4 linked regions of the Stegostoma tigrinum genome follow. The protein of the gene in region 4 interacts with the protein of the main gene of each other region in a pairwise test. Links are inferred from orthologs where the notes say so. Each region holds a gene or a part of one and is shown on either strand. Other genes may lie near its edges. The genes, in order: rho-related BTB domain-containing protein 2-like, shkbp1, abtb1 and cul3b.

Evidence for each region.
Region 1: the proteins of cul3b (region 4) and rho-related BTB domain-containing protein 2-like interact in a two-hybrid assay, tested with the Homo sapiens proteins (2 studies listed by BioGRID). The link is inferred for Stegostoma tigrinum from reciprocal best matches to the Homo sapiens genes CUL3 and RHOBTB2.
Region 2: the proteins of cul3b (region 4) and shkbp1 interact in binary tests that used the Homo sapiens proteins (3 or more experiments, as listed by UniProt). The link is inferred for Stegostoma tigrinum from reciprocal best matches to the Homo sapiens genes CUL3 and SHKBP1.
Region 3: the proteins of cul3b (region 4) and abtb1 interact in binary tests that used the Homo sapiens proteins (3 or more experiments, as listed by UniProt). The two-hybrid records come from large-scale screens. The link is inferred for Stegostoma tigrinum from reciprocal best matches to the Homo sapiens genes CUL3 and ABTB1.

Annotation. Positions count from the first base shown.
Region 1 is NC_081393.1:4,691,154-4,699,281, reverse strand, and holds the start of rho-related BTB domain-containing protein 2-like, read right to left. Parts: upstream 3,079-8,128; 5' UTR 2,627-3,078; intron 1-2,626. UniProt on the Homo sapiens protein: Regulator of cell proliferation and apoptosis. It likely functions as a substrate-adapter that recruits key substrates, e.g. MSI2, to CUL3-based ubiquitin ligase complexes for degradation. Required for MSI2 ubiquitination and degradation.
Region 2 is NC_081392.1:21,636,330-21,643,857, forward strand, and holds the start of shkbp1 (SH3KBP1-binding protein 1), read right to left. Parts: upstream 3,133-7,528; 5' UTR 3,059-3,132; coding exon 3,003-3,058; intron 1-3,002.
Region 3 is NC_081364.1:5,672,305-5,680,141, forward strand, and holds the start of abtb1 (ankyrin repeat and BTB/POZ domain-containing protein 1), read right to left. Parts: upstream 3,095-7,837; 5' UTR 2,927-3,094; coding exon 2,871-2,926; intron 1-2,870. UniProt on the Homo sapiens protein: May act as a mediator of the PTEN growth-suppressive signaling pathway. May play a role in developmental processes.
Region 4 is NC_081367.1:24,434,210-24,441,878, reverse strand, and holds the start of cul3b (cullin-3b), read left to right. Parts: upstream 1-4,577; 5' UTR 4,578-4,847; coding exon 4,848-4,910; intron 4,911-7,669. UniProt on the Homo sapiens protein: Core component of multiple cullin-RING-based BCR (BTB-CUL3-RBX1) E3 ubiquitin-protein ligase complexes which mediate the ubiquitination and subsequent proteasomal degradation of target proteins.

The sequences.
Region 1 (8,128 bases), on a different chromosome or scaffold from region 4:
CTATACTTGAAGTGTAAATCACAGCTGTCAAGTGCTTTGGTCATGAAAGGCGCTATTCACATCCAGCTTATTTCATTTCCTCAACCTTAAGGTTACTGAGTCAGTCACATTGGTCATTTTCTGTCCATCCATTGCAATAAAGCCTGCCTAACAATAATTTTCTCACACAGATAAAATCATGAGGTAGATTACACTGCAGAATGCATACCTAAGATCCACTTCAGACAAGGTATCCTGCTACGCTAATGAGCATTTAACTCCAATCCTATAAAATTGAGTTGCCTCTTAATACCTGGGCAATAAATGACCTCTATCAATGTTGATCAAATTGAGGAATAAATTAAAAGATGGCGAGGTAAAATATGTCTGTGCGTACAGTGGAATAACATGCTCTTCATCTGGTTGCTTCTGGGCACAACATATTCAAGTATCAAACACATGGATAACCTCACAGCCTCACACACAGACATACAACACACAGGCTCACACATGACTTGTCTCACATAAGACAGTCAATGCTTTCAGGCAGTTTGATACTGGCGTTAGCAAACCTATTGCAAGGTTAAAATATCTGCATTGGCTTTATAAGAACGTGTGTAAAGGAAAGACCATTCACACCATCAAAAAAGAGTCTTTCAACCTGAAACATGACCCAATTCTCTCTCCACTGATGCTGCCAGACCTGCTGAGTTTCTCCAGTACTTGCTGGTTTCATTTCATGTCTCCCCCATCCCATTCTATCATTCAATTAGACCAATGCTGTAGTTACTTCCTTAGGTTACATAACCCCAAAATTTCAATGCCACAAATGCAAGTTAAATCTTGCCATTTTAAATTTTACTACATGTTTGAATCTGTGTACAAAACCTAACCTGCAAGGATTACTAATTTGGTAAATTTTACAATGGATGTTTTGTGCTCTAGCATGTGAATAATTATGTGTTGAGTCACTTACTAAAACTCTACTGACTAACGTTCAAAATCTACAAACAGTAATAAAGAAACTGAGTTACGTCAACTGTTTTGTTTTGTGTCTAGGTCTAGTGGTTTTTACAATGGAAATATTTACTAACTTAGACATAGCTTTTAAAGTTTAAATCCATGTAAATAAGATATTGAATTGTAAAAACCCTGTGGATATAATAAACCATGGATTAAGTTGGGTGGAGGGGGGGCAGCGGATGATACTTTGCCCAGGCTAATGCTGCTAGATGACGGTTTAACTCCACTAGAGCAACTGGTTGAATGCAAATTAATTTAACAAAATCTGGAACTAAAGTTCATGTCAGAAATTGTGCCACCAAATCAACACAGTATTTTGGAACAGTCAATCTAGTTTTTGAATTTCCTTTGCAGAACAAAGCCTGCCATCTATATCTGGACTAGCCTGCATATGATTCCAAACCCAGTCGTCTGACTGATTCTCAACTGCCCTCTGAAATGGTACAACAGTTTATTCATTTGAAGAACAATAAGGAATGGGTAACAGATGCTGGCCACTGACACACAGATCTCATGGAAGAATGAAATAAAATCATTGTGGCCCTTATTGACCTTGAACACACATCCATTTTTGCATTAAGGTGTGTTTGAACTAATCTATCACGTGGCTAGACATAGAGTTATGATCTCTGAAATGCTTCATTCGTTATCAATTCTGTATGCATTTTCTTTTTCTGTAACGGGCAAAGGTCACTGCCTCAGGCCTTTCAGCCAATGTGCACCAAGGGGCTGGAAACTGTAAAATTTCAGAGACTGGGGGCCTCACAAGATACATTGTGTATCAAGAGCATCAAAACATACTGAAATACCTCAAAGAAGCACTGACAAAAGAAAATTGCACTTTCTGCAATTTCTAGTTTGAATTTGTTTTCCCCGGGCTGTCTATCTGACATGGAGTGTATTTTGCTAGACTCGTGCAGTTGAAACATGCTGCAAGGCAGAAGTTGAGCTTTCTTGCAAATTCTGTCATGCTCAGGTTGAAATGTTTTGTGATGTATTTTGATAAATTTCATGAATAAAGTATATGGTGGTGGGGCAGAAAAGCTGGACTTTTCTTTGCCACACGTAGAAAAGTAAATCAGAGGTTGAACCTATTTTTAAAAAGCTGCATGTAAACTGCCACTTGGAAACACATGCCAAAGTCAGGGCCGACCGGAGATGTGCGATTGCAGTCGGAAAACGGTAAGTTAAAGGTTTGAATCAGAGTTATGAATCCCTGCCACGTTACTGATGAGTAGTCCAGCCCGAGAAGGCTTTCGTCGGGTGGGGAGCGCAAATACACTCAAACTTGACATGATCGGCTTCGGCAGGAGACCAGAAGCTTGGTCACATGTAGCGTTTGCTGCGGGTCAGGCTTCATCCGAACTGAGTGCGGGACCCAGCCCTCAAGCCGAGTGCGAGCAGCTTCTGTGGTCTGCACTCGGAAGAGTCCACATCCCGATTTCTGTTACCACGACAACCAGCTCAATTTAGCTGTTGAGGAGATCGGATAGACTCTTAAATACAGACAGACTGGGGGAGACATTTCCCAAAATAGAAGCGGAAAGATATATGTCTATTTACACACACACACACAGAGTCACAGATATATATCAGGAAAAAAAGGGAATAAATCATCACGCACCGTGCTGAATGGAAAAATCTTTCTTCAATGAGGAAGTAGGTTCTCTGTTCGCCTTTTTTCAGTGAGTCGCAAGCATCTTCGTCATTGTATCCATTTGAATAATGTGTCAATTAAAAATAAATAATTCGACATTGTAGCAAACGGAATGACTTCACGCTATGAACTAAGACAGAGAAACGATCGCGCCACAAGCCGAAATCCCTGAAGAAATCATCTTTCCGCAAAAATTACAGCGCCCTGCTCCTGGCTCCCGAATGTGGGAAAGCGATAGGACGGGGGTGGGGGGGAGGGGTGGCAATCGGAGAGGTGGCAATAAAGGTTGCAGATTTATGTATGAAGTAAGATTGTTTTTCGTTCCTGATAACCATCGGCTGGAACAGGCTCATGCTGCAGTTGTTACTTCATTCATAAAAAGGAGCAGAGATTCTGCAGAGAGCGAGGAGCTGGGGAGGACTGTCTCCACCTACTTTTCCCATCCCGATTGGCGCAGACAACACCCACCCCCACTGCGCTGTCACCAGGCTTAGGGGCGTTACCGAAACCTCCATTGGCCTAGGGTCACGTCCTTCATCCGATATTCGAGAGCACCGGAAGAATAAAACACCGCCCCCTTCCCCAAACCCTCCTCATCTACAAACCGTGATGTGGAGATGCTAGTGGCGTGGATAAAGTCAAAAATCACACGACATCAGGTTTATTTTAAAACACAAGCCTGAGGAAGGAGCTGAGCTTAGAAAGCTTGCGTCCTCCAAACAGCACATGTCCAACAGACACTTCCACACTAAGAATAGTTCTGAAACTCATGCCTTCACAGAAAGAAGCATTTAATTCATGCACGTAATTGCGATTGTGTGAACACTTGCTCCATCTCTGCCTGAGGAACAAAAACGATAGGGACGGGGTCTATTAATATTTTGAAAACAGTGGACATTCTGAAGCAACTCAGTAGCATCTGTGCAGGGAGAAACAAAAGCGAATGTTTTGAGTCTGATTTTTTTTTTGTCTTCTGTCCCTGAAAAACAGATACATTGATGCTAACAACAGAAACACAACAAAACCCGACATGAACACGGGCACAAAGCCAAACTTTGATAGAAATTATGCATGTGCTATCCGGGCGAGGCTATATTTGTGAAGGGGGTAAACGCAAATCGAATGTTGCTGAGATAATAAAATGTGAGGCTGAACGAACACAGCAGGCCAAGCAGCATCTCAGGAGCACAAAAGCTGACGTTTCGGGCCTAGACCCTTCATCAGAGAGGGGGATGGGGGGAGGGAACTGGAATAAATAGGGAGAGAGGGGGAGGCGGACCGAAGATGGAGAGTAAAGAAGATAGGTGGAGAGAGTGTAGGTGGGGAGGTAGGGAGGGGATAGGTCAGTCCAGGGAAGACGGACAGGTCAAGGAGGTGGGATGAGGTTAGTAGGTAGCGGGGGGTGCGGCTTGGGGTGGGAGGAAGGGATGGGTGAGAGGAAGAACCGGTTAGGGAGGCAGAGACAGGTTGGACTGGTTTTGGGATGCAGTGGGTGGGGGGGAAGAGCTGGGCTGGTTGTGTGGTGCAGTGGGGGGAGGGGACGAACTGGGCTGGTTGAGGGATGCAGTAGGGGAAGGGGAGATTTTGAAACTGGTGAATGTTGCTGAAATGATTCTAACCGTGTACGCCAGTGGCTGTCCATGAGGCTTTCATCCAAATGATATGCCCCTGCCTTCTCAATTGTTGATGTCTGGCTCTAATTCAACTTTTGTTTCCCATCCTCTTCAGTAACTTATATGACCACCTTTTAAGTATATTGACGTTTCTCATTGGCGGGATGTTTCAATATGAACCCTCACCATGACAAACTGAGCAGCACGTTGGAAATCCCCGGCACTAAAGAGATTGTACTTCTCTATCAATTCCATTGACTGGAAGATAAATGTGTTTTCTTTAAAAACACACAAATATTTCAAAACTATATTGTAAAAGGCAACAGTAAAAGTTAAACAGCGGCTTGAGCTCTGAGAAAAAGTCATACCAGACTCGTAATGTCAACCAGAGATAATGGGAACTCAAGATGCTGGCGAATCCGAGATAACAAAGTGTGGAGCTGGATGAACTCAGCAGGCCAAGCAGCATCTTGGGAGCACAAAAGCTGATGCTTCAGGCCTAGACCTATGTCTGTAACTTCCCCTAGCCCTACACCTTTCTTTATCTCTGACACCTTCTCCAGTCCTACATCCCTCCATGTCTCTGCACAAGTTTTCATCTGTTGCACATCAATGGTTTACATGACATGGCCATTGTTGGCTGCCTTACAACTGCCCGAAACCTGAGGCTCTGCTACTCACTCATGATGGTTGGCTCTTTTACATTGTTGAATCTATCCCTTTGAGGAAGCATTTGATCACTCATTCTAATATCTTTAATAGTATTCCTGTTTAACTACACTAAAGGCACTGTCTATAAGCAAGTTATTGTTACACTTCTGAATCATGTAAGGCAAACTTGGATCTGGAATTGTTTGAGTCTCATGATCCTTCTTCAGTAAAGGTGACAAAGATATGGCAGGCTGGAAGAGGTTACAGCGGTTAGGAGGTTTGTCAAGGCTGGAGGTGGCCAATGAGGAATTTTTTCAGAAGCATTAGAATAATATGTCTAGCTCAATGTGACCATTTCAAAGATTCCTGTACGCCTTTATTTTGGAAATGGATTTGCATTTATTTAGCATCTTTTGGAATGTTTGTATGTTCCAAATTGTTCAATAGTCAATTAAGTATTTTTGATGTGTTGTCAGTATTATGCTGAAGGAAGTGCAGCAGCCAATTTGTGCACAGCAGGATCCCAAAAACAGTAATGTAATTTTAACCAGGGATTCATTCTTCTGTCAGCGTGTCATGCTTCAAGTGACTCCAGTTAAGATGATATCTGATGCTTTTATACCCTCAGGTCACATGTGACAATGTCATTACCATGTTTCTTAACACATTGATAGTGAGACATAGGGGAGGTGATGGCCAATGGTATTATCGTTGGACTGTTAATCCAGAGACTCAGAAAATGGTCTGGGATCCTGGGTTCATATTCCATCATGGAAGATGGTGGTATTTGAATAAAAGAAAACAATCTGGAACTAAGAGTCAAATGATGATCATGAAACCATTGCATATTGTCAGAAAAACCCATCCGGTTCATTAAAATCCTTCAGGGAAGGAAACTGCCAATCTTACCTGGTCTGGCCTACATGTGAATCCAGACCCACAGCAATGTGGTTGACTATTAACTAGCCTCTGGGCAATTAGGCCAGTCTAACCCAGTGACACTCTCACCTGTGAATAAATTTTTAAAAAAAACAGCAATTTGGAATAGTTTGATAAAACTAAGTAGATGGCTAGGCCAATTCAGAAGAAAGTTTAGCATCAACTGTTGTTTTCGGATTGGAGTTACATGTCCATAAACCAGATTGGTAAGGGCAGCAAGTTATTGGTCCAAAAAGACAGGGCTGGTTTTTGTGACATTTATGAATCTCCTAAATTAAACTGAGATAGATTTTAGACCTTGCCACCTGTGCGTAAAACTGGAGTTGCGTGGCAAACTCCGTCTCTGTAGAAGCTGTCTAATCTTTCTTTCCAGTGAAATATTTACTGACTTCAGCGCATCTGCTTCAAGTAAGGGACAAACATGGGCAAAGAAGAAATGCTGGTGCAGGGTAACAAATGAATTTGATCACACTGATGGAAGCATGAAACATAGATTGGGATTGCAAAGAGGAAGGCAAGTAACAAGGAAATGTAAATGTCCAAGTACTGGAGGAAATAAACAATAGGAAATACATTAAAATAAAATAGTTCTATTTATCTGCTCTGTCTTTCAGAATGTCTCAAAGCATTTTGCAATGAATGACTTGATGTGATTTGATTTGACTTATTGTCACGTGTACCCAAATACAGTGAAAAGCTTTGTTGGCGAGCAGTACAAGCAGATCACATTAAAAAAGGGCATACAGATCATAGGGTGAAAAAAAACTGGGACAGAATAAGGCATACAGGTTACACTGCATGTAGGGATGTGCAGTTGGCAAGATCAATGTTATTTGAAGTTAGAGACTCCATTCATTAGTCTAATAATGGCAGGGAAGAAGCTGTTCTTGAATCCACTAGTGCGTGTGTTCAAGCTTCTATCTTTTGCCTGACGCAGGAGGTTGTTGAAGAGCATCACTGGCGTAGGACAGGTCTTTGATGATGTTGGCAGTCTTTCCATGGCAATGAGATGTGTAAACAGAGTCCATGGGTGGGAGGTTGGCATCCATGATAGTCTGGGCTGTGCATACACCTTCTGCAGTTTCTTATGGTCCTGAGCAGAGCAGGCCGTCATGCACTTGGACAGTATGCATTCTATGGTGCATCTGTAAAAGTTGGTGAGGGTCCTCATGGACATGCCAAATTTCCTGAGCCACTTGAGGAAGTAGAGGCATTGTTGTGCCTTCTTGACCATTACATCTACGCGGGATGTCCAGGACAGGTTGTCGGTTATTGTCATTCTAGGAACTTAAAGGTCTCAACCTCTGCTCCGTTGATGCAGATGGGGTCATATTCTCCTCCTTTCTTTCTGAAGTCAATGTAGTTTTGCCGACATTGAGAGAGGTTGTTATCATTGCACCATGTCACAAACCCCTCTATCACCCTTCTGTAATCTGACTCATGGTTGTTTGATATCTATCCTACCATGGTGATGCCATCAGCAAACTTGTCGATGATGTTTGTTTTGAATTTGGCAATTGTTGTGGTTATAGAGGGACAAAAGAAGGGGTCTGAGAATGCATCCTCAAGAGCTCTAGTGTTATCATGCAGGAGGTGCAGTTGTCTATCTTCACTGATTGCAGTCTATGGGTCATGAAGTGGAGGATCCAGTTGCAGAGAGCAGAGCTGAGATCTAGATCTTGGAGTTTTGAGATCAGTCTGATAGAGGTAAGGGTGTGGAAGGCAGAGCTGTAGTCAATGAGCAGAAGTCTGAAATTGGTGTCCTTGTTGTCCAGATGTTCCAGGGATGAGTGCAGGACTAGGGAAATGAAGTGTTTATGAAGCACAATCACCATTGTCTTCAGTGGAATAGAGGACCCAAATTACACACAGGAAGATTCTACGCCAATAACACACAAGCAGTTAATCTTGTTGTGACGCTGACAGCGGGATAAATATCATCCAGATGTCAATAGACCAATCCTTGCTCATCATTCAGCAGTTAAAATAAACTTGTTTGCACATATCTGAGAAGGCAAATGGGTCTTGGTTAAAGCCTTTACATGAATGATTGCACCTCAATTGTCAACTTTGACTCTGTTTTCAAGTCTCTGGAATTGTGCTTGAACATACAGTCCCTTTAACATTGCCTCATGAGTGCGGCCAGTGAGCTGAGGTTGACATCTAAATGAAATAAAACCAGCGTACCATGTTGCATTTGTGTTTTGCGATGGTCAAGTAGCTCTGGACCAGATTCTAAGCTCATCTGACCAGCCCTGTGATAGTG
Region 2 (7,528 bases), on a different chromosome or scaffold from region 4:
GGACTTTGGTTCGGCCACATTTGGAGTACTGTTTACAGTTCTGGTCGCCACATTACCAAAAGGATGTGAACGCTTTGGAGAGGGCGCAGAGGAGGTTCACCAAGATGTTGCCTGGTATGGAGGGTGCTAGCTATGAAGAGAGGTTGAGTAGATTAGGATTATTTTCATTAGAAAGACAGAGATTGAGGAGGGACCTGATTGAGGCCTACAAAATCATGAGGGGTATAGACAGGGTGGATAGCAAAAAGCTTTCTCTTTTCCCCGCCTCCCCCCCCCCCCCCCAAAACCCAGAGTGGGGGATTCAATTACTAGGGGTCATGAGTTCAAAGTGAGAGGAGGAAAGTTTAAGGGAGATATGTGTGGAAAGCTCTTTACACAGAGGGTGGTGGGTGCCTGGAACACGTTGCCAGCAGAGGTGGTAGATGCAGACACCTTAGCGTCTGCTAAGATATACTTGGACAGGTACATGGATGGACAGGGAACAAGTGGACACAGACTATTAGAAAATAGATGACAGGTTAGACAGAGGATCTTGATCGGCGCTGGCTTGGAGGGCCAAAGGGCCTGTTCCTGTGCTGTAGGTTTCTTCGTTTCTTTGTTTCACCCCACACCGCGCTGTCCTTGGCTTCTTGCACTGTATCAATACAGTCATAGAGCTGTACAGCACAAAAACAAAACTGACCCTTCAGGCTAACGCATCCATGCCAACCAGATATCTTAAATGAATCTAGTTCCATTTGCCAGCATTCGGCCCATATCTCTCCAAACCTTTCCTATTCACGTAACATCCAGATGCTTTTCAACTGTTGCAATTGTACCAGCCTCTACTACTTTCACTGCAGCTCATTCCATACACACACCACCCGCTGCATGAAAAAGTTGCCCCTCACGTCCCTTAAATCTTTCCCCGCTCACCTTAAACCTATGCCCTTTAGCTTTGGACTTCCTCTGCCCTCAGAAAAAGGCCTGACTATTCACCCTATCCATGCCCCTCATCATTTTATAAACCTCTAAGGTCACCCCTCAGCCTCTGACACTCCAGGGAAAATAGCCCCAGCCTATTTGGCCGCTCCCTGTGCCTCAAACCGTCCGACCCCACAACATCCTTGTAAATCTTTTTTGAGCCCTTTCAATTTTCACAACATCATCCCTACAGTCAGGGACCAGAATTGCAAGCAGTATTCCAATAGTGGTCTAACCAATGCCCTGTATAGCCATAACATGACTTTTGAACTCTGGCATTCAATGCCCTGACCAATAAATAGAACTGCACCAAATGCCTTCTTCACTATTCTGTCTACCTGCAGCTTCACTTTCAAGGAACAATGAACCTACACTCCAAGGTCTCTTTGTTTAGAAGAACTCCCAAGGACTTTTCCATCAAGTGTACAACTCCAGCTTTGTTTTGCCTTTCCAAATTACAGCACCTCACATTTACCTAAATTAAACCCCATCCACCACTCCTCAGCCCACTTGCCCATCTGATCAAGATTCCATTGCATTCCGAGGTATCTTTGCTCTCAATTACACAACAGGACCCGATTGAGGTGTACAAAGTCATATTGCTGTGCAGATACACAAAGATCAATGAGCTCCTCTCTCAAGTTGGTAATTTACAGCATTCTGGACACTACCAACTTCAAAAATTTCAGATAAAATAACCAATTCAAAGGTGGTTGCTGGTAATGATTCTGCATTTTCATATTGACATCTCCTATAGAACCAGCTTTGGTTTCTTCATTTCCTCATCTGCCTTTGTCTTGCATCAAACTTGGAGGTGATGCTGTCTGTGGTCAATTAGTCTGATTCCCTCTGGGGCCAGAAACGGCAAATAGGCACTTGAATGAAACAGTGAGTGAGTAACTACCGATCACTGAACCCAGGCAAAACGACAAAAGGTCATGGGGGCAGATGCCCAGACACCCCCTGACCTCCTCAGAGAAAGACACAGCCACATCAAGCGCTTGCTGAGAAAGTAACTGTGGCATCCAGACTTTCCCCACTCCCCGCTGAACATCCCCCAGCTGGAATCCACAACAATCTGAATAAAATAAAAGAAACATTTATTCTTAATCATGGGTTTGTGCTGGAGGCAAAGATGGGGTCAGGTTCCACTTACTGAAACTAACAGCTATTGTCCAGTAGTCACACGTATATCCAGACCAATCATGAAGACATGGGGAGGGGCACATTCTGAAGGAGATTGGGAGTCATGATGAGCACCTTAAGGGGGAAGGCAGGGGAAGTTGCACAGTGCAACAACAGTATTCCAAGGAAGAACAGGGATGTTGTTTTTTGTAATCCTCCCACCCCCCCTTTGACATTCTAACAAATAATTATCACAGAGCAACAACAACCTGCATTCAGGTAGCAGCATTAAATGCAATAAAAAACAAAAGGGCCTAATTTTCTCCACAGAGGATTTTAAAATCAGTAATCACATTGAGCTACATGAGGTAGCTTGGTGTGATATAAACAGATGTTGTTGTGAGAGACAAAGAGGAATTTCTGAAACAAAGTAGCATAACTGAAGCAGACAAACTGATCATTCCCCACAATCTTGCGGTGAACATCGGCTGCAGCATTTCCTACATTACAACAGTCAATACATGGCATCGACTGCCAAGCACTTTGGGACATCCAGAGGTTCTGAAAGGCACACGCTAAATGCAACTCTTTCTCACTATTCTTGTTAATAAAAAACAGAAACTGTAATTCTGAAGTCACAACCCAAAACTCGAACATGTTCTCTGCGCAATACTGCTTTACTGCAGCCAGTATTTCTGGTTTTAATAATAGAACATAACTATCAGACTCAGTAATAACCACAAACGTCGCTGTTTAACAAAACCTTGAAAGAAATGGAAAAAAGACAGGTTGCTGAAGACAGAGATTAGGAGGCAGTGTGCACTCAAACAGCTCCAACACCCCACGCAAGACAGTGACCCAGATAATGAGAGGATTTCTAATGCCCAATTAATACCAATCTGTTCCTTACTCACCTCTTTCCTCCCACATTGAGATGTATAATTTCACCAGGCTGGGCGATATTTGCCATTTCACACCATCCCAGGAAAGCTCAGTCAATCCCCAACTTCCTCAAACAAGTTCATCAAACTTTGGGTGTGTTTTAGTCCCACCCCCTGCCACAAACGGATTGGCTTCAATCTGTTAACGTCGTTCCGGTTTTATTAGTTGATTGGTCAGATTAATTATCATTCAAACTTCTCCCTCAGTCCCAGGGTACTTTGCATCGGCTTCAGTGGCAAGGCTCTTTTTTAAAGGGACATCTCCTCTGGAGTGCCACAATTTCTTAAAGTGACAGGACACTGAGAGTAAGTCGTAGAAATACAAGAGAAACAAACAACTCTTTTTTTTCTGAAACAATAGACTCTTGAGTCAACAGGATGTGGCCTGATTAACATTTCCCATTTCGTAAAGAGAATGAGGGCCATGAAATAGCCAGTAAATTGACTGCAAGAGAGGAAGAGTCACGGAACACAGTTTTTAAAGTTTGAGTAAGGATGAGGCAAAGATTGACTGAGCAGGAGTATTAATAGCTGAAACTGTGATAGATGGTGAGAGTTATTCAGATGTAAATAGTTGAATACAAGACTTTTACATAATCCTCAAATCAAAATACAGAGGGAATGGTTGAGACAAGTAGACAGGAAGAAACCTTTCTCCTTGATGGAGGGATGAACGACCAGGAGACTTCAATTTAAGTCAAAGGGTTGGAGGCTTCAAGGGAATGTGAGGAAAATTATTCCATCCAGAGGGTGCTGGGAATCTGGAACTTACTGTGAAGGTGTTCAAGGCAGAAATCCTCATAACGTTTAAAAAAAATTAGATGTGCAGTAGTGATGCCCAGGCACACAAGGCAATGGGCTAAGTTCCTTGGAAAATGGGATTAGGATAGTTGCGCGCTTGTTTTTGACAGACTAGAAGGGCAGTGGGCCATTTTCTATGCTTTGAACTTTACAACTTTAAAACTCTAAAGAATTATGGAAATCTGGAATGCACTCCTTCAAAAGATGGATGAAATTTTAAAATCTTTAAAACAAATTAGTAGCCTTTTGTTGGTAAGGCAATAAAGAATAACAAAACCATAGCAGGTAGATGGAGTTAAGATTTTCAGAATCAGTCCAGATAAATGCAGGAACAAGTATCAGGTTTGCACACCTTCCTTCTGTTTCTGAAGACTCAAATGAATCAGATGACTAAGGAAGTTTATTGATGAATTAATTGAATGTCAGACTTTGCTATATTTCCCTGAGGAAGCAGTCTGTGATGTAATTACATTTACTCCTCAGAGTAGCCAATAACTGAACACTGAAACGGTCTTGAATCAATCTCCTTTTAAATGTGGATTTTATCTGGAAGTACAGACAGTTAATAAATGTCATTAGTTTTTCCACCACAAAATTCTCTTCTGCTCACTCTAATGTCAAAAGGAAACCAACTAATGCCCCTGCTCCTGATTACAGTCTCATGGCTTCTGCATAGGAGTAAGACAGGAGATCATACAAACTAGCGAGTTTTGAGAAGATTTGTAGCTCAGGTTGAGGTCCTGGATGTGAGTTTGCTCGCTGAGCTGAAAGGTTCGTTTTCAGACGTTTCATCACCTTTATTTTTATTTGAAAAAAATATACTTTATTCATAGAATGTACAAAAAATAAAACATTTATACACCTACCCAGTCATGCAAGCCACTCCGGGTTACCCAGGGGGTACGTACACCAACTAAAGGGAAAAAAAAACAAAACAGAGAAAAAAAAACAAAGCAAAGAAACCGCCCCGGCAGTCGTCACCCCGCACAGTCCCAGTTGGCCCCCTGACCAGTTGGGGAAGACGCCAGCTGGGCCCAGTTACCAGATAGGATTCTTTTCCCTTTTCTGGACGAGGGGGCTCATACGGTGGTCTTTCCCCACCGCGCCTTGGCGGCGGCTGCCCCAAGCTTTAGCGCGTCCCTCAGCACGTAGCCCTGGACCTTGGAGTGCGCCAGTCTGCAACACTCGGTCGGGGGCAGTTCTTTCAGCTGGCAGACCAGCAAGTTGCGGGCAGACCAAAGAGCGTCTTTCACTGCATTGATGGTTCTCCAGGCGCAGTTGATGTTGGTCTCGGTGTGCGTCCCCGGAAACAGCCCGTAGAGCACGGAGTCCCGCGTCACGGAGCTGCTCGGGACGAACCTCAACAAATACCACTGCATCTCCCTCCAGACCTCCTGCGCATAGGCACACTCCAGAAGGAGGTGATCGACAGTCTCGTCCCCCGCGCAGCCACCTCGAGGGCAGCGTGCGGTGGTGCAGAGATTCCGGGAATGCATAAAGGATCTCACTGGCAGAGCCCCTCTCACCGCCAGCCAAGCAATGTCCTTGTGCTTGTTTGAAAGTTCTGGCGATGAGGCATTCTGCCAAACGACTTTGGCAGTCTGCATGGGGAACCACACGACGGGATCCACCCTCTCCTTTTCCCGAAGGGTCCTGAGGATACTACGTGCTGACCACTGCCTGACGGCCTTGTGGTCAAAGGTGTTTCCTTTCAAAAATTTCTCCACGAAGGACAGGTGGTACGGAACGGTCCAACTACTCGGAGCGTTCCGCGGCAACGAGGCCAGGCCCATCCTTCGCAACACCAGGGACAGGTAGAACCTCAGTAAGTAGTGACACTTGGTGTTTGCGTACTGAGGATCTACGCACAGCTTGATGCAGCCACACACAAAGGTAGCCGTCAGGGCGAGGGTGGCGTTCGGTACGCCCTTTCCCCCATTTCCCAGGTCTTTGTACATGGTATCTCTGCGGACCTGGTCCATCCTCGACCCCAAAATGAAGTGGAAGATGGCCCGGGTGACCGCAGCGGCGCAGGTCCAGGTAATAGGCCAGACCTGCGCCACATACAACAGTACCGAAAGCCCCTCGCACCTGACAACCAGGTTCTTACCCGCGATGGAGAGGGACCGGAGCGTCCACTTGCCCAGCTTCTGCTTAAATTTGGAGATACGCTCCTCCCAAGTCTTAGTGCATGCCCCAGCTCCACCAAACCAAACACCCAGCACCTTCAGGTAGTCTGTCCTGACGGTGAAGGGGATGAAGGAGCGGTCGTCCCAGTTCCCGAAGAACATGACCTCGCTCTTACCCCTATTGACTTTGGCACCCGAGGCCAGTTCAAACTGGCCGCAGATGTCCAACAGCCTACTCACCGACCGACGATCGGTGCAGAAGACGGCGACATCATCCATGTACAGGGAGGTCTTGACCTGAAGGCCTCCGCTGCCTGGGATAGTCACGCCCTTCAGGCTCACGTCCTTCCTGATGGAGGCGGCGAAGGGCTCCACACAGCACACGAACAAGGCAGGAGAGAGCGGGCAGCCCTGCCTGACTCCAGATCTAACAGGAAAACTGTCTGATTCCCACCCGTTGATCGAGACTGCGCTAACGATGTTGGCGTAGAGCAGCCGGATCCAATTGCGGATGCCCTCCCCGAACCCCAATTTGGAGAGGACGTCCCTCATGTAAGCATGAGAGACCCTGTCGAAGGCCTTCTCCTGGTCCAGGCTGATGAGGCAGGTGTCCACCCGCCTGTCCTGTACGTAGGCGATCGTATCCCTGATGAGCGCGAAGCTCTCAGCGATCTTCCTGCCCGGCACAGCACAGGTTTGGTCAGGGTGAATCACCGACTCCAGGACAGACCTGACCCGGTTGGCAATGACCTTGGCCAGGATTTTGTAGTCCACGTTCAAAAGTGAAATGGGACGCCAATTCTTAATTTCTTCCCTCCCCCCCTTCCTCTTGTAAATGAGGGTGATGATGCCCTTCCTCATGGACTTGCACATTTCCCCTGTCCGAAGCGCACTATCGTACACCTCCAGCAGGTCCTGGCCGACCAGGCCCCACAGAGCAGAATACAGCTCGACCGGTAAGCCATCACTTCCGGGAGTCCTATTCCTCTGCAAGGACTTGAGGGCTCTGGCCAGCTCGTCCAGGGATATCGGCCGGTCCAGCCACTCCCTCGTGCCGTCATCTAAGACCTCCGTGATAGACGACAGGAACGACTCGGAGGCCGTGCTGTCCGTGGGCTTCGTGTCGTACAGTCCGGCATAGAAGGATCTGCTGATCCTCAAAACGTCGGGCCGAGACGACGTCACCGAGCCGTCGTCCTCCTTCAGCCGGCTAAGCACAGAGCTCTCTTTGTGCACCTTCTGAAAGAAGAAACGCGAGCACGTCTCGTCCTGCTCCACGGAGCGGACCCTGGACCGGAAGATTATCCTGGAGGCCTCCGCGGCGAAGAGCGAGGCTTGCTGGCCCCTCACCTCGCGGAGGTCCTCCGTGACATCGACCCCCATCAACTGCAGAAGGAGCAGGTTCTGCACCCTTTTCTGGAGTCGCAACAGCTTTCCCCGCCTCTCTCTCGCCTTCTGAACACCCTTGAGGACAAAGAACCTCTTGATGTTCTCCTTCACCGTCTCCCACCAGTCGCCTGGAGACTCAAAGAGGGGTTCCACGGTACTCCCTCTTAAGCTCCTCGACGT
Region 3 (7,837 bases), on a different chromosome or scaffold from region 4:
CCTCCCTCACCCCTATCCCAGGCCCCAAGATGACTTTCCATATTAAGCAGGGATTCACCTGCACATCTGCCAATGTGGTATACTGTATCCATTGTACCCGGTGTGGCTTCCTCTACGTTGGGGAAACCAAGCGGAGGCTTGGGGACCATTCTGCAGAACACCCCCGCTCGCTTCGCAATAAACAACTGCACCTCCTAGTCGCAAACCATTTCCACTCCCCCTCACATTCTTTAGATGACATGTCCATCATGGGCCTCCTGCAGTGCCACAATGATGCCACCCGAAAGTTGCAGGAACAGCAACTCATATTCCGCTTGGGAACCCTGCAGCCCAATGGTATCAATGTGGACTTCACCAGCTTCAAAATCTCCCCTTCCCCCACTGCATCCCAAAACCAGCCCAGTTCGTCCCCTCCCACCAGAGCACCACACAACCAGCCCAGCTCTTCCCCTCCACGCACTGCATCCCAAAACCAGTCCAGCCTGTCTCTGCCTCCCTAACCTGTTCTTCCTCTCACCCATCCCTTCCTCCCACCTCAAGCCGCACCTCCATCTCCTACCTACTAACCTCATCCCACCTCCTTGACCTGTCCGTCTTCCCTGGACTGACCTATCCCCTCCCTACCTCCCCACCAACACTCTCCTCTCCACCTATCTTCTTTTCTCTCCGTCTTCGGTCCGCCTCCCCCTCTCTCCCTATTTATTCCAGAACTTTCACCCTATCCCCCTCTCTGATGAAGGGTCTAGGCCCAAAATGTCAGCTTTTGTGCTCTTGAGATGCTGCTCGGCCGGCTGTGTTCATCCAGCTTCACACTTTATTATCTCAGATCTAGAATTGTTGTTTGCCTCACATATGACAAGTCCTTCATCCCCAGGATCATTCTTGTGAATTTTCTCTGCAACCCCACCCCACCATATCCTTCCATAGATTTGATTTGTTGTTCTCACATGTACTAAAATAACAGTGAAAAGTGTTGTTTTGTGCATTCTACAGGCAGATCGTACCGTACAAAGTGAATCAGATAGTAGAAGTGCCAGGTCAGAAGGCTGAATTGAAAGACTTCTGAACTGCATCAAACAGCCTGTCCCTTCAGCTGTTTGCAACAAGTAAGGTACTGCCCACATCCAACCAGTCCCCGCTTCTAAACTTTACGACGGTGTGTAACATTAAATATGAACTGCAACTGGACAATGTTTACACAATAATTCTGAACATGCAAGAATTATGCTAGTGACCAACTTAAGACGGTCAGTGGGGCTTTCACTGTGGTGCACTTGCATGTATGTACTGGAAGCTTTGCACACTAATACACAATGCAGACAGAAAATCCATGTACATACACTACACCTGTACAGGTTGAGGTTACCATGAAGGACTCACCTCAATGTCTTTCCTGAGATGTGGTGTACTTCAAGTTATACCACCACAACTCTCCTCTGTTTAATAATAGAGAGGAGTGCTTTGGTCCAGTAGAACTATGGCAGCTTTATCTTTTCCTTCATACCAATGTCAAGAGCTGTTGTTGCTCCTGCACTAATACTAAGGAATCTTACAATAATAAATTCAGAATTGGCAGGTCATTCCACTAGGTCTACTTTCCAGCCCATCTCCTCTCCTCCCACCTCCATTCTGCCTCACTGCCATCCCTACTCCACTTCTTGCAACCTTCTCTCTCTCTCCATTTCTCCTGCTTTTGCTCCCTTCCTGCTCCAATTCTCCCTTCCCTTCTACTTCCCCTCCCCTCACCTTTCTCCCTTCCCTCTATCCCTCCATTGAACAATCCCATCTCTTAAGTTACCTCCCCACCTCTCCTCTCCAACACCCCCATTCCCGAGTCATTGTTGTTCATCATTTACATATACAATGAGGATGAGAGTATAGCAGGCATGGTTATTGAGTTCTATGGATGACACCAAAATTGGTGGTATAGTGGATGGTGAAGAAGGTTATCAGTGGACCAAGGAATTGCAGCTAGAGTTTAATTTAGATGAATGAGAAGTGATGCATTTTGGTAAGAAAAACCAGGGCAGAAACCTAGGGGTGCAGGTACATAGTTCCTTGAAAGTGACATCACAGATAGACAGGATGGTGAAGGCAGCGGCTGGCACACTTGCCTTCATCGGTCAGAACACCGCGTACAGGCGTTAGGGCATCGTGTTACCACCATACAAGTCACTGGTAAGACCACATTTGGAGTACTGTGTGCAATTCTGGTCACACAGTTTTAAGGATGTTTTTGAAGTGGAAAAGGTGTAAAAATGATTTATAAGGAAGTTACCGAGACTAGAGGGTTTAAGTTATAAGGAGAGGCTCAGGCTTTTTTAACCCAGAATTTAGGAGAGCTTATAAAAGTTTATAAAACCATCAGGAGCATAAAATAAGGTGAATAGCCAAGGTCTTTTCCCAAGGTAGGTTCAGGGTGAGAAGAAAGCTTTATAAGAGACCTAAGACAACTTATTCACACAGTGTGCTGGTGTATGGAATGAGCTGCCAGAGGAAGTGGTAGAGATGAGTCGAAGTGCAACATTTAAAAGACATTTGAACACGTACATGGACGAGAAAGATTTAGAAGAATGTCTGCCAAACACAGGCAAATGGGACTAGTTCAGTTTGGGAAACCTGGTCGGCACAGGCAAGTTGGACAGAAGGGAAAGCTTCTGTACTGTGTCACTCCACTACTCTCTCCATCACACCCCCATTCCTCCACCCACCCCCTTACTGCCATCACCCCATTTCCCCACCCACCCCTCTCCTCTACTCCCCCCATCTCCCTCTCCCCCAATTCCCCCACTTTCCCTCACATTTTCCCCCTCACCCTCAGGGTTTTACCCCACACTAACCGACTGCACTTGGGCCTCAGCCGCACTCACCGAACTCTGGAGAGTTCCCCCTTCCTGCAGCTGGTGAATAACTCGCTCGTGTCCATCTCTCTCCTTCGCTGAAGCTGGGAATCGATACATCGACTCCGTGACGCCGGAGCCCAGTGTAGTTTTACTATTTATTATTTAAAGCTCGCTCAGTGAGCTGCTCTCCACAGGCGGTGTTTACGACCGTTTCGAATGTAAACACGACCGACTGCTGTAACTGCACCTGCGCACTTTGCCCATCAGCGCGCCGCCTGCCACCCGGGAGGAGGAACAGATCCTCCCGACATTGTACAAACTGCCCATCACAGCGCCGCCTGCCGCCCGGGAGGAGGAACAGATCCTCCCGACATTGTACAAACTGCCCATCACAGCGCCGCCTGCCGCCCGGGAGGAGGAACAGATGATCCTCCCGACATTGTACAAACTGCCCATCACAGCGCCGCCTGCCACCCGGGAGGAGGAACAGATCCTCCCGACATTGTACAAACTGCCCATCAGCGCGCCGCCTGCCGCCCGGGAGGAGGAACAGATCCTCCCGACATTGGACAAACTGCCCATCACAGCGCCGCCTGCCGCCCGGGAGGAGGAACAGATCCTCCCGACATTGTACAAACTGCCCATCAGCGCGCCGCCTGCCGCCCGGGAGGAGGAACAGATCCTCCCGACATTGGACAAACTGCCCATCACAGCGCCGCCTGCCGCCCGGGAGGAGGAACAGATCCTCCCGACATTGGACAAACTGCCCATCAGCGCGCCGCCTGCCGCCCGGGAGGAGGAACAGATGATCCTCCCGACATTGTACAAACTGCCCATCACAGCGCCGCCTGCCGCACGGGAGGAGGAGCAGATCCTCCAGACATTGTACAAACTGCCCATCACAGCGCCGCCTGCCGCCCGGGAGGAGGAACAGATCCTCCCGGCATTGTACAAACTGCCCATTCGAGCGCCGCCTGCCGCACGGGAGGAGGAACAGATCCTCCAGACATTGTACAAACTGCCCATCACAGCGCCGCCTGCCGCCCGGGAGGAGGAACAGATGATCCTCCCGACATTGTACAAACTGCCCATCACAGCGCCGCCTGCCGCCCGGGAGGAGGAACAGATCCTCCCGACATTGTACAAACTGCCCATCAGAGCGCCGCCTGCTGGTCGGCAGGAGGTAACCGTCCTCCCGACATTGTACAAACTGCCCATCAGAGCGCCGCCTGCTGGTCGGCAGGAGGTAACCGTCCTCCCGACTTTGTACAAACTGCCCGTCAGAGCACCGCCTGCTGGTCGGGAGGAGGTAACGGTCCTCCCGACATTGTACAAACTGACTGGAAGCCAAGAGCCCATGGGATCCAAGGAAATTTAGCAAATTGGGTCCCCATTTGGCTGAGTGTCATGATGCAGAGAATGATGGTTGACTGGGTTTCTTTTTGTGACTGGAAATCTGTGTCTGTTTAGGTCCACAGGGGAGAATGTTGGCCCTAGCGAGTTTCGAGAAGATTTGTAGCTCAGGTTGAGGTTCTGGATGTGAGATTGCTCGCTGAGCTGGAAGGTTAGTTTTCAGACGTTTCGTCACCATTCTAGGTAACATCATCAGTGAGCCTCCGACGAAGCGCTGGTGTTATGTCCCGCTTTCTATTTATCTGATTAGGTTTCCTTGGGTTGGTGATGTCATTTCCTGCCATCCATCACCAACGCAGGAAATGACAATATGGATGGGCTGGCCTGTGACAAATGGAAATCAATCTGGATACATGTGATACACTTGGGCAAGAAAATGAAGACAAAAGAAATGAATGGGAAGCACCATGGATGAAGAGACCTTGGTGTGTGTATACACTGAACCCTTAAGGCCTGGTGGATAAAGTGGTGAAGAACACACACGGGACAATTTATTTTCTTTTTTTATTTAACTTCTTTTTCTAATCAACCTGTTCTGAGGAGTTATTACTCGTGTCTGGAGCAGGTGGGACTCAACCTGGGCCTCTTGGGCCAGGGGTAGGGACATTACCACTACACCACAAGATGGCCCCCAAATACCATTCACTTTCAACAACAAGCAGAGACAGTCTACTTTGCCTGGACACAAAGGCGGCACTGCTGTTTCATTGAGACAGAGTTTAAGAGCAGTGTGGTGGTAATGGAACTGTATAAGACATTGGTTAGGCCACAGCTAGAATATTGTGTACAATCCACCTGATAGGAAATGTGCAAATGCCCTGGAGAGGGCGCAGAAGAGATTTACCAGAAAACAAAAAATTGCGGGATGATGGCAATTTGAAACCAAAATAGAAATTTCTGGAGAAACTTAGCAGGTCTGGCAGCATCTGTGGTGAGAAAGCAGAGTAGATGTTTAAGGTCCAGTGACTCTTTTTCAGGACTATTGAACGATCAGACAATGAAAGTGGAATGGGAGGCAGGAGAGATCTGAGACAGCACGAGGTGATGCAGATGGAGAGAGAGGTCGAGAGTTCGCATACGGCAATGAATTGCACTGAGGTAGGTTTCAGGATGGACGTACCCAGAAGAGGTGTCACATGAACTAAACACGAAAACAAAACAAAGAATTACGCAGAGATAGCAGGAACTGCCGATGCTGGAAAATCTGAGATAACAAGATGTAGAGCTGGATGAACACAGCAGGCCAAGCAGCATCAGAGGAGCAGGAAAGGCTGACGTTTCGGGCCTAGACCCTTCTTCAGAAATCTTTCTGAAGGCTGACATTTCGGGCCTAGGAAAGTTCCTGCCATTTGTTTCTAATGTGATTATTTACTGTTCTTGCTTTGTCTTCAAGATTTTCTTTGTAAACAGCTATGATATTTTAATTTCCCCCAACTTACCCAAATAAAACTTGTGCTTGTGACCTTAATACATCCTTATTAACAGATCTGAAATCTAATTTATAGATCTTCCACTTTAATCAAAAATCATCTTCAGTTAGACAGTGTGCTTTAACGTTTAAATTTCATATTTTGTCTTAATTCTGCTTCATGATGACCTCCATCAGACCATAAGATATAGGAGTAGAATTAGGCCAATCAGCCCATCGTTTCTGCTCCAGCAATCGATCATTGTTGATTATATTTCTTAACCCCATTCTCCTGCCTTCTTCCCATAACTCTTGACCTCCTTACTAATCAAGAACCTGTCAACCTCTGTCTTAAATACACCCAATGGCTCAGCCTCCACAACCATCTGCAGTGATGAGTACCACAGATTCACCACCCTCTGGCTGAAGAAATTGCCTCGGTAAGATTTATTTCTTGTCATGTGTATCTTGTTACAAAATGTGGTGAAAAGTGGTGTGCAGCATCACTACACTCTGGCGCCATCTTAAAATGCAGAAAAATAAAACAAATCAGAATATAAAGGCAGAAAAATGTGACAGTGAAAGAAGTGCCCACCTTACAGTCCTTTTTATTAAGTGCTCCATCGTGGGCCAGGTGGCCAGGCATGAGGCCCCTTCTCTGCGCCCACCCCCTGCTAGAATAAAAGTCATCATTCTTTGGTGCCATCCTGCCTCCATCAATGCCCAAACCGCTATGGGTCCTTGGTGGACCTTGCCAATGCAGACGCCACCAAAGTGGCTGGGAAGTGCAACAGCCCCACCAAGTACTGCCACCACAAGCCCGCTTTGGGGCTCACCTCGCCAGTGCAGCTGCTGCTAGGTCTGGTAGTGGGCCCAAACTCGCCTCTGCCCATCCCGCCATGAGTCTGTGCCGATGATGCCTTTGCCAAGTCTGAACCCTTCACCAAGCAGTAAGTAAAGTAAAATAGAAGTGAACTATAAAAGGAAGAGAGGTAAAAAAAGGAAACAAAGAAAAGCAGACAAGTCCTGGGCTCAGAAGCTCTCCACTACCTGAATGTTGAGTTCCCGCTTTTGATCTCCTTATAACCATGATTCCCTTATGGCTATAAGATATACTCATTTACCTCAATTTTTCCTATTAGTTCATCCATCTTATCCTGAATGCTTCAAGCATTAAGATACAAAGCCTTCATCTTTGTTCTATTATCAAATTTCCCCACAACTATATCGTTCCTCGATGCAATATGACATTCTCACTTCCTTTTATCTTCTGGTAACAATCATCCCCAACCCCATCATTATAATCCTACTTTCTCCTTTACGTTTGATTTTATAATTTTCCATGCAACTGAACCAATGGACGACATGTCCATCATGGGCCTCCTGCAGTGCCACAATGAAGCCACCCGTAGGTTGCAGGAACAGCAACTCATATTCCGCTTGGGAACCCTGCAGCCCAATGGTATCAATGTGGACTTCACCAGCTTCAAAATCTCCCCTCCCCCCAGTGCATCCCTAAAACCAGCCCGGCTCGGCCCCGCCTCCCTAACCTGTCCTTCCTCACACCTATCCCCTCCTCCCACCTCAAGCCGCACCTCCATTTCCTACCTACTAACCTTATCCTGCCCCCTTGACCTGTCCATCTTCCCCGGACTGACCTATCCCCTCCCTACCTTCCCACCCATACTCTCCTCTGCACCTATCTTCTCCTCTATCCATCTTCAGTCTGCCTCCCCCTCTCCCCCTATTTGTATCAAAATCCTCTCCCCATCCCCCTTTTCTGATGAAGGGTCTCAGCCTAAAACGTCAGCTTTTGTGCTCCTAAGATGCTGCTTAGCCTACTGTGTTAACCCAACCCCACACTTTGTTATCTTCAACTCTCCACACTCTATTTAGTTTGAAGCCTAATCACAACCGTAGTTATAAGATTTACCAGGACTCCAGTGCAAGCATGATGCAGGTGGAGCTTGTACCATCAGAACAGTTCAGTATTGCTGCTAATGTCCCATGAAATCAAACCTGAAGGGTCTAGGCCCAAAACGTCAGCTTTCCTGCTCCTCTGATGCTGCTTGGCCTACTGTGTTCATCCAGCTCTACGTCTTGTTATCTCAGATTCTCCAGCATCTGCAGTTCCTACAATCTCTGAAACTGTTTCTCCCACATCTATTTTTGA
Region 4 (7,669 bases):
AGCATCTCGGCTGATTGACAGTTGTGTCTCACTGGGTGATTGACAGTGGCTGGTACCCCAGATGGTTGACAGCTTCTGGGTGGTTGACTGCTCTAGAAATGTTTAAAATCTCTCTGACTGATCAAAATTTCCCATTAATAACAGCTCCATGCATGACTGACAACTTCTTGGGTGATTGGCAACTCTTAGGAAGATTGATGCTCTCAATGAGACTGCCAGCTCCCTGAATTATTGACATGATTGTCTGCACACTGTCTGATTGACAGCTGTATGAATGGTTGCCAGGTCTCATGGAGATCGACAGCCCTCCTTGTGATGGACAGCTTCTGGGTTACTGACTGCTGTCGGCATGTTCGGCAACTTTTGGTTTGATTGACAGCTTCCTGAGTAGTGATAGCACTAGTGATTGACAGATCTCTGCATGATTAGTTTGACAACTCCCCAGATAATTGACAGCTGCTGGGTCATTAACAGCATCCTAGCTGATTGACAATTTCCCAGGTGACTGACAGCTCACAGGAAAATTAACAGCTCACCATAGTTATGACAACTCCTCAGCAGTTGGCAACACTCAGGATAACTGACAGCTTTAGTTGTCGTTGACAGTTGTCGGGGTAACTAACAGTTTCCTTTTTAATGATCCATTTCAAGGTAATTGACATCTCGTGAGCTAATTTACAGCTTATCAGTTGATTGACAGTCCTCTGGGTGATTGAAAGAGAGGGTAAATCAGCATTCAGTTTTCTACACAAATGCTCTTTCCTGGTTTCAAACCGGGATTCATTTGCATGTAAAGTGAATGTGATACCCACTATGCTACAGAAACAGGACACTGTTGGATGATTGGCTGCACTCAAGGATTTTTACAGCACTTGATGTGATATTGGCATTTCCCCAGGGGAATGATGCTCAGGATTGATTACACCCAAAATGGAATGTGTGAGTGATGTTTTTATTCATTCATGGGATGTCGGTGATGTCCACTGGGCTATCATTTATTGCCCATCTCTATTTGCCCTTGAGAAGGGTGGTGAGCTGCCTCCTTAAACTTCTGCAACTTATTTGGTGGGGTCAAACCACAATACCCTAAGGGAGAAAGTTCCAGGGCTTCCACTTGGTGACACTGAACGTACAATTATATGTTCCCAAGTTAGAATTGTGAATGCTTTTGGAGGGAAGCTTGCAGGAGCTGGTGTTCCTGTGCACTTGTCGCCTTGTCCTTCTGTATGGAAGTTGGCATGGGTTTGAAGCTGCTCTCAAGGGAGCCTTGGTAAATTTCTGTGGTGCATCTTGTAAACAGTTCATACTGCTTGCTGCTACTGTGCATCAGTGGTAGACAGGGTTAATGTTTGTGAATGTGGTGCCAATCAAGCAAGCCACTTTGTTCTGGATAGTGTTAAGCTTCTTGAGTGTTGTTGGAGCTGCACTCATGCATGCAAGCGGAGAGTATTCCAGCACACCCAGGAATTGTGGATTGTAGATGGCAGGCAGGCTTTGGGGAATCAAGAGTTGAGTTATTGTTGCAGGATTCCTAGCTGCTTACCTGCTTGTGTAGTCACATTATTTGTGTGGAGTGTCCAGTTCATTTTCTGGTCAATGTTAATCCCCAAGATTTTTAGAATGGAGAGATAAATGACAGTAATGCTATTGAATTTCATGAAGCAATGGTAAGATCCTCTCTTATTGGAAATGGTCATTGCCTGGCAGTTACTTGCCACATTTTAGTCCAAACCTAGATATTGTCCAGGATTTGCTGCATTTAGATGTCAATTGCTTCAGTATTCGAGGAGTTGCAAATAGTGCCCGAAGATTGTTCAACTATCAGTAAACATTCCACTTTGACCTTATGACAGAGAGAAGGTCATTGATGAAGCAGCTGAAATTGATTCAGCCTAGGACATTCCCCTGAAGAATACCTGCAGAGATATCCTGGAACTGAGTTGACTGACCTCCAACATCCCAAACATTGTCCTTTGGTACAGATATTACTTGAACCCGCAAAGAGATTCCCCTCACAATTGTGATTTCTACTGACTACAGATTTGATGGAGCTCCTTGATGTGAAACTTGGTAAAATTGCAGACTTGACATCAAGGGTAATCACTCTCGCGTCATCTCTAGAATTTAGCTGTTTTGTCCACATTTGAACTAATGCTATAATAAGGTAAGGAACTGAGTGGTCCTAGCAGAGCCCAAACTGATGATCAGTGAAAAAAAAACAAAGAACTGTGGATGCTGGAAATCAGAAACAAAAACAAGTAATTGCTGGAAAAACTCAGCAGGACTGGCAATGTATGTGGAGCAAATGTAGAATTTTAACATTTCAGATCCAATGACCCTTCTTCAGAACTGACTGTACAGGATCTATGGAGAGGGGGTGGGGGAAGGGGGTTGGAGTAAGGGATAGGCAGAGGTGGAGACCAGAGAGAGAGAAAAACAGTTGTGCAGACAAAAACATGGGTACAGGTCAACCTAGGAGAATTAGCAGCTGCTAATGGGGACTCTTAGTGGCTGACAATGGTTTGTTTTTGGCAGCAGCCCATGTAATAACAAGGTCTGGTGTGTGGGGTTGGAAATAAGGTCAAGGGGAAGGTGCTCAAGCCCCAAAATTGTTGAATTCGGTATCGAGTCCATAGGCTGTAGGGTTCCAAAGTGGAAAATAAGGTGCTGTTCTTACAGCTTGTGTTGAGCTTCTGTGGAGCTCTGCAGCAAACCCGAGACAGAGATGTTAGCGACAAAACATAGTGGTGTGTGGAAGTGGCAGACAACCGAAAGCTCACTAAACCAAAAAACCAAAAGAACGGCAGATGCTAGAAATCAGAAACAAAAACAGAAATTGCTGGAAAATCTCAGCAGATCTGGCAGCATCTGTGGAGAGAAGTCAGAGTTAGTGAGAGCTCAGAGTCATTTCTGCAGACAGATCCCCTCCTTCCACCCCATAATCAGCATATGTAACAACTCCCTCCCAGCTACAATAAGTTCTGAAGAAGTGTGGCTGGTCCCAAAATATTCATTCTGCCATACCTGCTGAGTTTTCCAGAAATTTGTTTTTGTTCATGAGCGTCAGTGAGCAGGCTATTGACAGGTTTTACAGTGATTAACAGTTTCTGGATTGTTGGCTGCTCTCTACATGATTGATACTCCTTGTGTTAATTCAGCTCCCTGGGTAATTGACAACTTTCAACACAACTGACTACCCCCATTGAACTATTGCCAGCTCCTAGGTCATTTAATCCTCCCAAGTGATTGACGGACTTTGAAGTGATTGACAGCTCATGGGGCAACTAACAGCTCCCATGAAGACTTTCAGGTCACAGGGTGGTTGACAGCTTTTGGAGTGATTACCAGCTTCCTGGTTAATTATAGAGTCCCAGATAACTGATAGCTCTTGAGGTAATTCACAGCACCCTTGTTGACTAAAAGCCTTCTGGATGATTAACAACTCCTCAGGTTACTGGCAGCTTTCAGGGATATTGACAGCTCTTGACGTGATTCACTGTTTCAAAGGTGAATACGACATAACTTATGATCGACTGTAGCCTAGATAACTGAGATCTTTGCCAATGATCGACAGTTCCCAGGATGATTATTAGCTCCTAGTTGGTTGACAACTCCCTAGAGGATCTACAACACACCGGATTGTGGGCGATTGACAAATTTCTGGGAGATTAACAGCTCTTAGGAAGATTGGCAGCTTGTGGGGCGAATTTACAGTTCGCGTTTAACGGTTGGCTAGGTTTTTCACAGTTCCTAGTGGGTTGACAGGATTGCAGCAGTGTGAAACTATTCGAGTCTTTGATCACTGCATTAATCACATTGCCAGCTCCCTGGGTAAATGACAAGTCCAAGAGTGATTGACAGTTCCTGAATGATTCATGGCTCACAGGGTGAATGACAGCCCCTGGGTAACTGACAGTTCCTAGAGTGAGTGATGTTCCCAGCTTCTGGTGATTGACTGCTCCCTGGGTAGTTGGCAGCTCACAGAATGGTTGGCAGCTCACAATGTGATTGAAAGCATGTGGACTGATTGACAGTTCCTTGGGTGGTTGACAACTCTGTGAATTACTGACAGCTCTGGGTTTGATTGAAAACTCCAGGTGATTGACAAATCCTGGGTAACTGATAGGCCAAGGGCGATTTACAGCTGCCGAGTGATTGACAGTTCCAGGGATGATTGATGGCTGCCGAATGATTGACAGGTCCCAGATTGATTGACAGATACAAGTTGATTGACAGCTCCATAGCAATTTATAGCTCCCAGGTTGCTTGACAGTGACAGGTTGACTAACAGCTGCAGAGTGATTGACAGTTCCCCAGGTTGATATACAGTGACAGGTTCATTCACAGCTGCAGTGATTGAGAATTCTCGGATTGATTCACAGCTGCAGTGATTGACCAGTTCTCAGGTCGATTCACAGCTGCAGGTTGATTGACAGTTCCCAGGTTGATTGACAGCTGCAGATTGATTGACAGTTCCTAGGTTGATTGACAGAGCCTGACGCGTCACTGCTGCGGACGTCAGTCTCGTGTTCTCCCTGCGAGTACAGGGCCGAGCTCTCGCGATATCGGACTGTCGACTGACCTGCGCACTGAAGGTTTCGGCCGCCATAGAGCCGGGCTGGTATTTTCCAACAGATTTTTTTTGATATTAAAAATTGTTTCATGGTCGAAGGTCCTGCTGCCTCTCACTTGAAGGGGGTCAGATCAACCCGAATCACTGGCCGTGGATCCCGTCTAATCGAGAGGTTTAATTGTAGCTCGGTCTTTTATCGGAACTTCCACTCCCCCTTTTCTTTTTCTCTCCTCCCCTGTAAGTGAGTCCTATGTGAAAGAAATCATCCGCCAACATGTCAAACCTGGGCAAAGCTGGGACGAAGAAAGACACCAAGATGAGGATACGAGCGTTTCCCGTAAGTAATGACCCCGTAGCCGCAATTTAACAGAACAAATGAAAGGAAATGCGCCGCACGGGGACAGAGAGGCTGCGAATGCTTCAAATCGAGGGCCCGGGCTTCTACGGATGTCAACACAGGAGCAGGCCCCTTATCGTTTGATTAATATTCATGGTGCTCCGTGAAGGCCAAACAGAGAGGCTGTTTTAATCCTTGGCTGTTTGTTGTGATGACCTCCCCCATTCAGGAACACAAAGCGCTGTGTTATGTTGTCATTTTTTAATTCACTTCCTCCATCTTTCTCTCGCCATCAGCCCCCTCCCCAAAAAAATCTGTAGAATATTATTGGTTCTGACATATTGAAACACTAGGTAATAAGTTGTAAGGTGCGGCTTACGTTTTCTGAAATAGTTTCACAACTTCGGATATTTTTAGCTTTCTTTTGAAAGTGATGGAATGGTAGTGTGGAATGTTAAGTATTTACTGTGTTTTCAGTCAAGTTGAAACACTCTTTAGGTGGTCTGTGACATGGACTGGTTCACTACTGAATACTTAGATTTGTGGTCACAATAACTTGGGTTATGCTCTGAAAACTTAATTGGTAAGAGCTTTGTGACTGGACTGGTACACCAACGCCTGGTGGAATATTTGGTTCTCTATCTTTTGCAATATGCATAAGTTGAAAGGTGAGAAGAATGTCTCCTTCAGAATTGACCTTAGTGAGTTGAAAACCTTGAAAGAAATGCTCGAATCATTTCCAGCAGATTTGCTGTATATCATATGAAATACATATGTAGTAAGCTCAAATATATTTTTGCAACTACTGGTGAAAGTTTGAAACTGTTCAAACAGCACTTAACTGCTTGAAAATATTTTGCAAAGGATAACAGTATTAATAAATTTTTAAGCAGGGCAAACTAGATAGCAAGTGTTTTATCCCCTCCCCTCAAATGAATTTGAAATTGTGCGGTGATTGCCTTCTACCTGGAAGAATAACACATTCAACATGTGAAACAACTTCTGTATAAGCGGGACAAGGAGCACTTCCTATGTAGAAGTTACTGTTAAAGTTCATACACTGAGAGTTTCGTAGGCACAAGGTTACAGCATAACGTTTGTTCACAGTTTCAAGTTTACTAGCGGAACATGTTCAATTAAAATAATTTGTGCCAAGCGTTCGTCATACTGTTTTTTATGCAACTTCTGTAACATTTTGACACTGCTGATCTGTATATAATTCTGAAATTGGTATGTTACTTTATGGATGTTCTTTGTATGGTATATTTGCTGAAAGACATCAACTTTGTTAATTACTAAACAGAGTGGAATTAAACGGTACTAACCAATTTTGTACTTTCAAAAAATTCTCCTAAGCTAACTAAAGTTATTTTTTAAATGGTGTAAAGATCACTGACCGTAATTTGAAAAATTAAAAGGATAGAATTATGTGGTGTATTGCCAATGTAAATTACTTTAATTCTATTACTTCTGTCATGTGCTCAGGAGTAACTGTAGAGCAAAGCCAAGATTGCTGTTTAGCTGATATGTTTGTGAAAATGGACATTAGAGATATTGAACAGGGGCCTACTCACTAAGTTCTGTACTTCTACCAGCAGGTGCTTCCCATAGGAACCCTTTGCAGTGTAGTTCAAGATGTCCAAAAACTAATTCAGCTGTGTTTAATCAAAGCACAACTGAAAGATTGGATTGTAAAATGAAAAGCTGAAGTGCAAAAACTATATTTTTTTTTAGTTTTGGTTTGGCTTATGATATCTTCCATATATAAAAACAGAATACCTGCACCCACATTGTTCATTTTCTGGTCAGTTGAGGATCATTAGTTAGCATACTCATGGCTTCTCCCAGTGTTGTGGGGTAACAGTAGGTATTTACTGCTGCCTGCATTGCCCATTTCCTACAGCAGTGATTTGAGATCCTCTATGAATTGGTGATCATTACTTGCTCATTACCACTTTGAGTTCTGAGTTACCATCTGTTGTACTATCAGGATATCTTTTTAAAAACAAAAATTCAGTTTCAGTATCATAAATGTTTCAGAAGTAAATGAGATCATGCTGTATTGGTGTTTATATTGAAATGACTAAACAATGTTAGTTACTACAATTAATTATATAGTTATTGTTTTACTGATTCAGCTGCCTTCTCTAACTATACTACTATTGTACTGTATCATTTGCAAAATCACATTCATCGAATTTAATGCCAACTAGAAATAAAGGCCCCCTGCAGAAAATTTACATCTTCGTAATGGAACAGTTGTTGGTCAGTTTTAGAATCAGTTTGCACATGATTGTCATTTTAATGTAGAATATGCATTTTAATGGTGTGAAAAAAGACACTTTGAAATACATTGTTTGGCTACGTTGATCCATTTGTAAAAATAGCTTTAAAGTGAAATTCAGACAATTGTATTTGCAGCATTGCCAAGACCACTCAGTTAGTGCTAGAGGTTTTTGATTTAAATGGGGTGTAGCATGAATACTGAATTATTTACAACATGGTTAACCTGATTGGCAGTTACCTAAAATTACGAAGAGCATTTCAATTTTTTTCTATCAACACTGAACAGGATGATAGACACAATACGGGTGGGTAAAAAGGCTCATAATAGGGGAATGTAACATTGCTGAACAGAACTTGATGCATTCCGATCAGATTTCATTCTTGTAAGCATGATTAGAATATCTGAATAAATTCCTAGATATGTTTTAATCTATCAAGAGTAGAAAATTTGTATTTCCATGAATCTGAATTGT